Bombyx mori: one gene and its partners. The protein of the gene in region 3 purifies or fractionates together with the protein of the main gene of each other region. This does not show direct contact. Links are inferred from orthologs where the notes say so. Each region holds a gene or a part of one and is shown on either strand. Other genes may lie near its edges.

The links.
Region 1: the proteins of DnaJ-1 (region 3) and nuclear migration protein nudC purify together in Homo sapiens (affinity purification with mass spectrometry; 4 studies listed by BioGRID and IntAct, with this or other methods). This does not show direct contact. The link is inferred for Bombyx mori from reciprocal best matches to the Homo sapiens genes DNAJA2 and NUDC.
Region 2: the proteins of DnaJ-1 (region 3) and endonuclease G, mitochondrial purify together in Homo sapiens (affinity purification with mass spectrometry; 3 studies listed by BioGRID and IntAct, with this or other methods). This does not show direct contact. The link is inferred for Bombyx mori from reciprocal best matches to the Homo sapiens genes DNAJA2 and ENDOG.

Annotation. Positions count from the first base shown.
Region 1 is NC_085128.1:8,581,967-8,585,623, reverse strand, and holds part of nuclear migration protein nudC, read left to right. Parts: intron 1-335; coding exon 336-493; intron 494-2,458; exon of another isoform or gene 2,459-3,138; coding exon of another isoform or gene 3,139-3,179; intron 3,180-3,264; coding exon of another isoform or gene 3,265-3,657. Other genes in the region: uncharacterized protein LOC101746542, read right to left, coding at 3,139-3,179, 3,265-3,657. UniProt on the Homo sapiens protein: Plays a role in neurogenesis and neuronal migration. Necessary for correct formation of mitotic spindles and chromosome separation during mitosis. Necessary for cytokinesis and cell proliferation.
Region 2 is NC_085126.1:6,520,588-6,524,863, reverse strand, and holds the start of endonuclease G, mitochondrial, read right to left. Parts: upstream 2,944-4,276; 5' UTR 2,766-2,943; coding exon 2,553-2,765; intron 2,367-2,552; coding exon 2,164-2,366; intron 1,837-2,163; coding exon 1,713-1,836; intron 1,500-1,712; coding exon 1,387-1,499; intron 804-1,386; coding exon 623-803; intron 165-622; coding exon 69-164; 3' UTR 1-68. Other genes in the region: probable phenylalanine--tRNA ligase, mitochondrial, read right to left, coding at 3,572-3,739. UniProt on the Homo sapiens protein: Endonuclease that preferentially catalyzes the cleavage of double-stranded 5-hydroxymethylcytosine (5hmC)-modified DNA.
Region 3 is NC_085110.1:7,563,912-7,567,721, forward strand, and holds DnaJ-1 (DnaJ (Hsp40) homolog 1), read left to right. Parts: upstream 1-1,357; 5' UTR 1,358-1,384; coding exon 1,385-1,453; intron 1,454-1,563; coding exon 1,564-2,721; 3' UTR 2,722-3,271; downstream 3,272-3,810. UniProt on the Homo sapiens protein: Co-chaperone of Hsc70. Stimulates ATP hydrolysis and the folding of unfolded proteins mediated by HSPA1A/B (in vitro).

The DNA of each region.
Region 1 (3,657 bases), on a different chromosome or scaffold from region 3:
GCTTACAACCATCTTTGACATAAAAAACGAACTGATTCTTTAAGTATACCTGCAGGAATACAGAATACACAATAAGATATCGGTTAAAATCAAATTGAATAAACTTTGTAGAAAAAACCTGAGATAAAATATGAGAAATATCAAGTCCCTAAATTATTAAACTTAAATTTCTATCATTTTAGATTATCATTTCTGTTTGGATTTTGATTATGCTCATGTTTATAAGTGGTCTTAAAAGGACTTTATTTGTAACATATTGACTAGAGCAAGCACCATCACACTCCTAGGCATAAATATAATGACACCACATCAGTATATTTCCTTCATATATGCAGATGCAGAAGTTGGCAGTGGTGATAGCAGTGATGTTACTGAGCCTGCAACGCCCGAAGAAGATGACGATCCCAAAGAAAAGGGGAAGTTGAAACCTAATGCTGGAAATGGATGTGATCTGGAGCACTACAAATGGACACAGACGTTGGAAGAAGTAGAGGTGAGTCATTGGTATTAAATTCAGTACCATAGAGTTTATTCAGTTATTATCCATTCTCTACTTAAATATCCGGATGCCTCCAAAGAACACTACTCTAACTCAAAAATTTGAAATTTTCGTTTTTCACGCAAATCGCTTCACTATGTTAAAAGTATTGCAATTAATCATTATTAATGGGGTTCGAAGCAAGAGTAAATCAGCTAGCTACACAAAAAAACCATAAATATATCTGCAATAATAAAGATTTTATCAACTTTTTTCGTTTAAACGCTCCTCCTGTAAATCTACGAATTTGGAGTTAGCGTAGTGTTCATTGGAGGCATCGATCTAGTAAAATGCTTATTATATTTTTAAGAGACTCAATGGTGAATAAACATTACATGCTTCGCTGTACATGCATAACTCTGTATAAACTAATAGCTGTTGATACATGCACACTGTCTAACGTGCGGTCTTTCTATTGAGAGCCGTAGATATTTGCAACACAAAAAACCTAGTTTTGTGTGCTGTGTTAGTTCAAGTTGGTGTTAAACGTTTACTGCAATGAAATGAATTGAAAATTTCATGTGACCGCCACTTTTGAGACATGATTTCTAAATCTTAATTGTATTGAATACCTAATTTATCTTATTATCTAATTAGGTACCAAAATACTTAATACACTGCTGTGCTTTCTAAAGATACTAGTCGAAAACTACAGCGGAGACACAGCAGAGTACACTACTTTTTCTTTACATAGTTCAAATCAAAGACAAATTTGTATAGTGTACAATAGAAGAATACAACAGCTTTCTCCTTTACTTTTGATCATACAACACGTTTGTTTACCGAAACGTCTTTAGCTACTTCATCGACAACCTTGAAATCTCAATTGCTTTAGAATAGACTACACCCTAAATAATTTACGAACTACTCACGCCCTGACGGGTAAGTCGTACGTTGTACTCGTATCGAATTCGAATATACCACATATTTAATAAAAACTAGATGATGACCGAGCTTTGCTCGACTTTTTTTTTTGATAACGCCATCTTGTTGTGTCTATAAAGCGGTTATTTGCCCACAATAAAAAAAAATAGTATTATTATTCGCCGACAGATGTCGGGAAGAGTTGATTATTGAAAACACGAATAAAACAACATTTTCTGAAAATAAATCGTAGCTAGATCGATTTATCGCCCCCGAAATCCCCTGTATACTAAATCTTATGAAAATCGTTGGAGCCGTTTCCGAGATTCAGATTATATATAATAATATATTAATATACAAGAATTACTCGTTTAAAGGTATAACATATATTATCACAAATTTCTTTTCATGATGAAGAAAATTGAGTCATAAAAATCGAAATTGTTAGCTGGCACAGGTATCTCTGGAGTATTACTACGAAAATTTGTCACGTTTTGTAGTGTGATGGCTGGGACAGCTGTGTGCTCAACCTATCGGCAAACGTAGGGGCTCTGTTCAAACTCCATACAAATTTGAGTTAACTTTTACTCGATCGAGAAGTTAAAAAACTCGCACTAAGCACACTGCTGTGTGTCTGTGGGTCTCGGGCGGTGCCGTTTGGGTTGTGATATCTATGGGCTTGGTGAACCAGACGAGCCTTGAAATCCCCCAAAGGCAACAAATAAATACTAAACCAGCCACATTGATATTTATCTCATCTAGAAAAAAAAAAAATTTTTTTTCATCGCTTAGATTGGTCGACGAGCTCACAACTCACCTGGTGTTAAGTGGTTACTGGAGCCCATAGACATCCACAACGTAAATGCCGCCACCCACCTAGAGATATGAGTTCTAAGGACTCAGCGTAGTTACAACGGCTGCCTCACCCTTCAAACCGAAACGCATTACTGCTTCACGGAAGAAATAGGCAGGGTGGTGGTACCTACTCGGGCGGACTCAAAAGTGGTCCTCACAAGAGGTAAGAACCATTATCTGCTACTTAAAAAAACAAATTAGTTTGAATAATAGTTTATTTTGTTTCATTATCACAGTTCAAAATATGTAACAAATTCGTGTTTCATTGTAATCGTTGTTCACTTGAATATCAATTAATATTACATAAAATTACTACATTCGCTGGCGAAAATTACATCAAAGTTGCAGTTTTTCATGAAAATTACGAAAAAATGCAAATTTTATTTTTCAGAACATTGATGCAAATGCAGTGTCGTTACTAAAATTACTTATTGCTTAAAAACTATTGTGGTATATTAAAATAGCTTGAATTTGAGATACAATTAGACTAATCGTCAATATGAATAAAATAAACTTCTAACAATTTACACTAATAATAAAATACCGTGTACATCAAAGTTTAGACTAAGATTAAATTAATGAAAAAAAAAACAACTAAACTTTAAGTTACAATAAATAATAGGCTTTTTCTAATTTTATTTACCTAAATTCCAGTAAACTGGATTTTTATTGCACTAATTCATGAAATATACGTAGTTGCTTATATAAAACAAAACAGCTTGTTGAAATTCTGAAAGAATATAGTTCACAATATAACGAAATTTTTTTTTTCAATTTAAAACATCGTGTATCAAAATTATCTAAACATTTGCTGTTAAACTACGACCAAATAGTAACTAATAAGCTGGTAAAAACTTCAAAGTTCTGGTCTTCTTTGAAACTTATGAATATTTGTACATGCCGGTCTCCTTGCGCATTCGCACTGAAAAAAAAAACAAGACATTAAAGTTAATTTGCATTACTGAAAATGAGTTTATAGAAAATAGTTTTTATTTAATAATACTCACTTTCGACAAAGCATATCGCTGCCAGTATACACGCAGAGAACAATATAGTCATCGTTATCACAAGGACGGTTATCTGGTGCGAGTGATTACAACAGCAGGATTTGTTCTCCTTGTTCGGACATTGCTTCGTATAACCATTTACAACTGTGAAGTGAGTTGAACTAGCTATAGAAGTGGCGTCTTGGTCGCGCGAGCATTCCGTCTTCACGCCACTCCAAATGGATTCGTTGTGATCGTGTGGCTCCTCGGGAATCGCGACCACTGCTTCTGGAAGAGCGTACTTGCGTTCATAGCCGCCGAACTTGCTATGATACGGACCCAGCTCCTCAGTGTTGCTGCTCCGTCCACTCATGCGTGCCAAGTGAGCCGCGCTGAGTAACAATGAACCCGACG
Region 2 (4,276 bases), on a different chromosome or scaffold from region 3:
TATTGCATTAACAGAAATCTCAATCTTTTGGTAATTAGACACAGTGGTGTTCACAGATTCACTAATAATCATACTTTCTTCCCATTTATTCTGCTTAATTTACTTCTATGTATTTTGTCGAAGAATAGCAATCCAGCCGCCCTTTCTATAGTTTCTGGAGGCACCTAAAAACAAATTTTATTTTGTGTTGATATTCATTGCATAACTCAAATAGAGTACAAATTCTAGGGAAGTTTTCACAGTTCATTACCATATTTCACAATTTATGAATACTGCCGTGTAATCAATCAATTTGGATATTATTTTATAATCACTACTACATAGACACCACATACATTACATAGTCATACAAACAAGTTTGAAGGGTGAGCACATCTTATAAAATATAATTGAAGTTACAACAACATCATGTGTCCGTGGGTGACAATATTTGATGTGTGTAGGCTCCAGTAACCATTTTACACCAGCTGGGTTGTGAGCTTGTCTACTCATCTAAAGTAAACATGCACACAGATTTGAAAGGTATTAAACCAATTAATATCCTAACATGGAGAGTTTGTTGGTTGCACTGCTATAGAGTGAAGGGCCACATCTTTCAGCAATTTTAAAATGCATGACATACCATAAAAGAAGACACTGGTGTCTCATCAGGTATCTTCTGGTTGGGCATGACATAGGCTTCCATATCCAGTGTACCATCTGGAGCCTCGCCCACGACTACCTTGTAGAAATGAGTTGGTACCGCCACTGTGTTTGCTCCTATAACTTGATAACGAACATACGATTTACCGTCGGATTCTTTCCTGAAAAATGTTTATTGTCAATCCTATGTTATTGAACTATTATGAGCTACTTGCTGTACCCGTCCGCTTCGCTGGGCATTTAAAATTAACATTTTTATTTCTCACCCCCACAAAGATTCTCATCATTAACGCCCCCGCAACTGGTGTAGGGAGTCCAACACTCATATAAATATTAGCCTATCCGTTAAGTACATGTATTTTCTACATTAATACCAAGTTTCAAGTCAATCGGATGCATGGCTCAGTAGTTATAATGGAACATCCGTAAAAATCACTGTAAATTTATATATTAGTATAGATGTCATAAAGGGCATTACTGTTATTATGAAACCATTAGCTTTGTCACTACCTTCGTGTCTATTCTAGACTTACAGTTTAAATGGCAAGACAGCCATTAGTACATTGTAAGTAGCTTGATGTAATATGATTGAATTGGATAATGATATTCTCATTGAGTATCTCAGAGCACTGGTATCTAAATAACACAAGATGAGCTTCTGAGCAATCCGCAAAGCAAATCCCACAGCGATTAAAAAATATTGCATGTTCAAATGCCATTTAAAGAATTATACAGTGCTGTTACCTCGGAAGATACAATGGTCCTGTGCAACAATATACGTGATCATACAATTTGGTTAATTTACGAACATGTTTCTCAAGTCTATTCCAAGCATGTCTGTTGAATCCTTCCCCAACCTAAAAAAATTAAAGCTCTGAAGTCTACCACAGAATTATTTCATTTTAATGATTTTCCAACAATTACTTCCGAAACCTTGGTTACTTCTTAAAATAAACATCGTTTCAGAAGGTTTTTGTCTATTGTAAGAAAATCTTGTAACTATATTGTTAGAAAATCTATTGAATACTAAGTAAATTTTAATCACTGTATACTTCGTGAGAGATACCTACCTGCGGAGCCATATTAGTTAGGTAAAAGGTTTGTTCGACATGTTTCTGTGCGAGCCTGTGGTTTCCGGCCGCAGCCATATGACCTCTATCAAAACCAGATCCTTTGTAGTCACTATTTAAAGATCTGCAACATTTGTTATTAGTAGAATAAATCTATTGCAATATAAATGAAAATCCATTATATTTTACTGAATCCCACGCATAATTCTCTTAGCATTTAGGTTGGATTGGTAAATTGGCTAATTTCAATGGGACAACAGCTTTGTAATTCAAAGTATGTACTGTTATTGGCTGTAGTTTATGATCTATAGCAGCTGTGAAACATTAAGTGGTATATTTGCAGCTACCCGTGTTGGCTAATACTATAAATTCTCAGAAAATTATCCAGTATACAAATATCTCAATATCTCTCAAAAATTTAAATCTATATTTGGATTATTTAATTTATTACCTAAAGAATGGATGTATACTTTCATCAGGCATAAAGTCACATTTACTCCTATCAACCTGATCATTTTTGGCAATGTGTGCTTTTGTTAGATGTTCAAAAACCCAGTGTGGTACCCTGGTGCGACGGTCGTAAGACAACACATAATCATCATATGAACGAATATTGTCGAGGCCGGGGAAGCCATATTTCATTATTTGAGATACCTGAAAGTGTTCCATCATTTATCAACATTCCATTATATAATAAAATTAACTAGACACCAAATTGTTATTATGTTAATAATAAATTGATGTTATATAATATTAAGAAATTATATTTTATTTTCTATGCTTAAATATAGGGATAGATTAGATAGTTTTCTTTAATTAAATAGAAAAAGGCTTCATCACCCTAGTTGTGTCCTTCGAACCACCACTTTCAGTGTATGGCACGGCGGCAGACACAGTTCCGAACACAGGCAATGCTGGTAAGCTCGTCAGGAGTTTACCATCGACCTCTATACAATCTTGAGTAGTATTTTTACCATTGCATTGTCCTATATAATATCCAGTCAAGCCGATAGCACTTAATTGAGCTAAATGAAACACTTTTTTACGAATCATCGTTTTTAACGAAATATTGTAAGCCACAGTTAATTCAGGAACTGCATCGAAAATAATGTTATGATTTGTACTTAATTCTGCAAGTCTCAATTAGTAGTACATATTCTTTGAGGTTATGTAAATAATTTAAATTAAAAAAATAAGAATTATTAGTTAATCTATGAATCTTGTACTATAATCTGTATACATAATGTTTTTTATTTGTCCTATTGAGTAGGCAAAAGGAACATAGTCAATCCAAGCTAATAACAATAAAAGGTCAAACCCAATGACTTTCATACGATATGTGAATTAAATGGAAATAAAAAGATGGATTACAAAATAACATCAAAGTAAAATGACAAATACAATATTTTTTACTTTATTATTAAAACACTAAAATTACCATGCCAGACCAAGACTTCTAAAATAGGTAACTGGTACACTGATATCAAAATATATCATCATTTATAAACTACTTTAACAAACTGTAAATTAAAAAAAGTGGCAACAATAGCAATAATTTAAATACACACATAGACCTTTATTTATGGTCTCTTAGAACTAATAATATTATGCGTATTTTTTTTTTCTAATCTGTCTTTTATATTGAGTTTTTTACACGTTCACTGATTATTAATCTATTTGTTTATGCTATGACAGAAAACTTCTCTGGACAAATGTAAAAAATTACAAAGTTCAGTGCTGGAATATTCAAAGTAACATTATATTTTAAGGTAGATAAATTTAACAGGATTAAAAACAGGAAAGTTAAACATTATTTGTGAATAAAAAATGAAAACAATAAACACTTTTTAAATTTTTTACTATCTTATGACTACATTATAATTTTTGACCACTGCATTTTCTATTTGTTTATGAATTTTGTTTACCTCAGCTTGTGTAAGAGTACGTTCTAGATGTCTATACACAATGCTGTAACAAAGACTATGCTTCTTGGTCTTCGGATGTATAAACTTGTCCTTTAATTTCACCTGCAACACAAAATTTAAACAAAAAAATAATGTTGTCTTCAATGTGTGTGTGTATTTTTTTTGAAGTTATACTTCTTTAGGCGCGTTATGAAAAATTGATGAGTGAAATTATGCGATGCGCGCGCACCGTGACACAAAATTAACAGAATGAAGTTGCCCACTAAATCGCTCATTACAATACGACCTATGTAACTTGGCGAGTCTGAATATAGCCGCAGGTGAACTTTCCGAACCGGACCGAGAATTACCGAATTTATACGATGTCAAGAAAAGGGATGTCCAACATGCGTGTTTGAGGATGTTGTTTAATCCATTTTTTTTCAAATTGATTAAAATTTAATTTAAAAAAAAAGAAATAAATTTAATAAAAATAAAGTATAACTTCTTACGCGCGTACATAAGTACACGCACCTTTTTTGTTGCTATGTGGAGGATATCTGGTCAGAAGAACTCTCATAGTCACAGCTATACCTGAGCATATAGAGGTCATAACACCATACCACTACCCCACTTGATACATGAAAGTTGAAGTCTCAA
Region 3 (3,810 bases):
TTTCATCACTATCAAGAACAGAGTAAAATGTAGACACGATAACCAGTTTATTTAGGTAAACAATATTTAAAATAAATTAAGTTAGGTTTAGAAAGATTAGCCTCATAAAAATAAATATTAAATAAAATAAAAAAACGTGCGGTGAACAGTTAAGGAAAAGTCTTGCAAACAAGTTCTCGAGATAATTTCCATTAACCTCGAAAAGGCGTTCGACCGAGATCTGCGACACCTTATCTGTGAGCTTAGCTTAGCTTAGCTCCATAAATACATGTATTTTTATATTTCAACAACGTAAATGCCTTTACTAGTGGTAGGACCTCTTGTGAGTCCGCACGGGTAGGTACCACCACCCTGCCTATTTCTGCCGTGAAGCAGTAATGCGTTTCGGTTTGTGGGCACTTAACACCATGTGGGCTGTAAGCTCGTCCATCCACCTAAGCATTAAAAAAAAAAAAAAAAAAAATGCCACCACCCACCTAGTTCTAAGTCTAAATGTAAGTAGTATCAGTTAGTTATTCTCCCAGTGGGTAGTGGCATTGATTGAGATTATATTTATTAAAATCATTATTGCACTACGAATATTTTAATATAATTTCTATATTATTCTTTAATATTCTTAACTGCTTCCTATGCCAACTTTCTCAGATGTACAACATAAGAATTTGGATGGCTTATTTTATGATAATGTGTCTTGGATAACCTCAGAGGAAGTTAAGAGAATATCTGTTTTATTAATTTCATTTAATTATTCTTTTCGCATATCAGGCACGGCTATGCCTTTAGTTAGAAAATATTGGCTGTATAGGGTATATTTCTTGTGCTTTTCCAGATGGATGTGAAATCACGTTTACAGAATCCAACAACTAAGGTCTAAAGATATTTATTAGGCACAATAGCATTATATTTTCACAATTATTGAAACTTTTAAAATTTTTTGGTTGGTGCTTCGGTTTTTTCTCTAAGGTAAAATAAATTTTATGTATTCACTTATATGTTAGTGTATTCGTTAACATTACAAGTGAAAGTAAAAGAATGTAAACAATTTTATTTTATACCGACAAATTTTTTCATTAAATATTTCTCGATTTGTGTGTTCGTATTTTGATTTTGAAATTTTTTATTTTTATCATAAGGATTTTGTAGTAGCGACAAGATGGGTTTAGTGCTACTACAGGCAGTCATGAGCGATAAACCAAACATTTGACGAATTCGAAATATATATTAAAATTTATTCTGTTTGGACCATGGACAAAATATCGATTTTATGCTATGATTCGAATTGTCAAAACGGCACAGCGCGCCTCTCTAAAACAAACCACCTTTTTCTAGTTGTCATTTAGCTAGGATTTCAGAATTCTTTTAATCCTCTACATCACGGGAAAAAATGGCTGATAACAAATTATACGAGATTTTGGGCGTTTCTAAAAATGCCAGCGAATCCGAAATTAAACGAGTAAGTTTAAATTCGTATTATTTAAATATGTAAACCATCACACACCGATTTCGTTACAAATTAATGCATGGTTACGTTTATTCCATTGTCTCGTTTTAATATTTTTTCAGAATTACCACAAACTTGCTAAAGAGTTCCACCCGGACAAAAATCCTGCAGCTGGTGATAAATTTAAAGAAATAAGTTACGCATATGAAGTGTTATCCGATCCTAAGAAAAGACAAGTGTATGACTTATACGGGCTCAAAGGACTACAGGAAGGCGGCCAAGGAGGAGGGTTTCCGGCTGATGAAATTTTTGGTAATTTCTTTGGTAACCTCTTTGGAATGGGTGGGAGTAGAGGATGTGGTCAAGGCCGTGGTCCAGTCCGTGGCGAAGATACCATGCATCCCCTTGCAGTGACATTAGAAGATTTGTATGCTGGGAAAACTACAAAATTGCAGCTCAGCAAAAACGTAATTTGTGCCCACTGTAAAGGTGTGGGAGGAAAACCAGGTTCTCTTATATCTTGTAAAGATTGCCGTGGACAAGGAATTAAAGTGTCATATCAACAAATTGCACCACACATGACTCGGCAATTTCATTCACGCTGTCCATCCTGTCTCGGTCAAGGTGAAACATTTAATGAAAAAGACAAATGCTCTAAATGCAAAGGAAAGAAAGTTTTGAATGAAACAAAGATTTTAGAGGTGCACATTGAAAAAGGTATGAGAGACAATCAAAAAATCTACTTCAGAGGTGAAGGAGACCAGCAGCCTGATACTGAACCTGGTGATGTGATTATTGTGTTACAACAAAAACCTCATGAAAAGTTTAAGAGGAACGGAGATAACTTAATAATGAAGCATGAAATCACACTTACTGAAGCATTGTGTGGTTTTGAATTTGTTGCTAAACATTTAGATGGAAGAGATTTGCTCATCAGACATTTACCTGGTGAAGTTATTAAGCCCGGTGATGTTAAATGTGTACAAGGTGAAGGAATGCCTATCTATAAAAATCTTTTTGAAAAAGGAAATTTCTATGTCAAATTTGATGTTGTTTTTCCTGAAAATCATTTTGCTAATGAGGAACAGTTAAAACAAATAGAAACTATTCTGCCCCCACGTCCTGCTTTTGTTATGCCTACAGGTGAAGATGTAGAAGAGGTTAATCTAATGGATTATTTCACACCTAGTGAAAGTAGCAGAGGCAGAGAAGAAGCCTATGCTAGTGATGATGAAGAACACATGCACGCTGGCCCTGGCGTTCAATGTGCTCATCAATAGTAAAATTTGTTTTATGTGCAATTCAAATTTACAGCAATTTATTATAGGTAGTGTAATATAATTTTACAGCACTTACATTTCACAGATATTTAAAAAAAAAATACTGTGCTAACAAGGGCTGAATTGTAATTCTTGCAACTTTATCCTTTTTATTTTTTGCAATTTTTCTGATTCTTGCTTTTGTCAGATGACCAACAAAATTTAGATAAATAGTTGGATTTATAAAAATATTTACCTTACGTAATAAATTTAATCATTTTTCGGTTTTGCATTTTCATCAAATCTCTCATTTTTTTATTGACTAGAAATAAAATCTAAAAAAGGAATTGGTACTATTAATAAATGAAAAAGACAAAACAAGGATGTTATATATTGTGTACAAAATAATTGATAAATATCAATAATTATGGACAGTGAAGAGCTCTCACATACATTATTTTAATTTTTCTGTTCTCAAAACATGACAGCGCTGAAATGCAAGTGTTTTATGTAATTCATTCCAGGGACATTGTATGGCTGAGGCTAATTATAATTAAAAAAGTAAATAATACTTGTGTAAATTTCTTTCGCACTCAAATTAAAAACATTTACAAGATCAACTGGTTTCACAGATACAATTCCATTACCTTAATACTACGAGACAGTTCAAATTTGTGGCATCTAGTAATCATTATTTCAATCAACCTCTTTTTTTATAATTGCCTTTGTAGGCAGATGAGCATATTGCCCACCTAATGCTAAGTGGTGACCGTCCCTCATGGACGTCAGCATTCCCTGCCAATCCAAGTCTGCCTACCATGGAGTACTCTCCGCAGGCCTCGTTTGAAGGACATGTCATAGCGCTCAGGAAAACTGGGAAACACGAATAATTCCTCAGAGCTCTCCCCATGGAAGATACGGTAAAAAGACAGAGAGAACCGAAGTCCCTCCGCAGAGTCCAGAAGTTCCAAGCGATCCGCGAGAACGGGACTATTGACAATCCGAATGGCCCGTCTCTGTATGGAGTCAAATGGAAATAGCTGGTATTTGGGAGCAGAGGTAGGATCCATCTGAAGCCGGACCTGTGCTTTGTTGTAAAGTGCAAGTCTG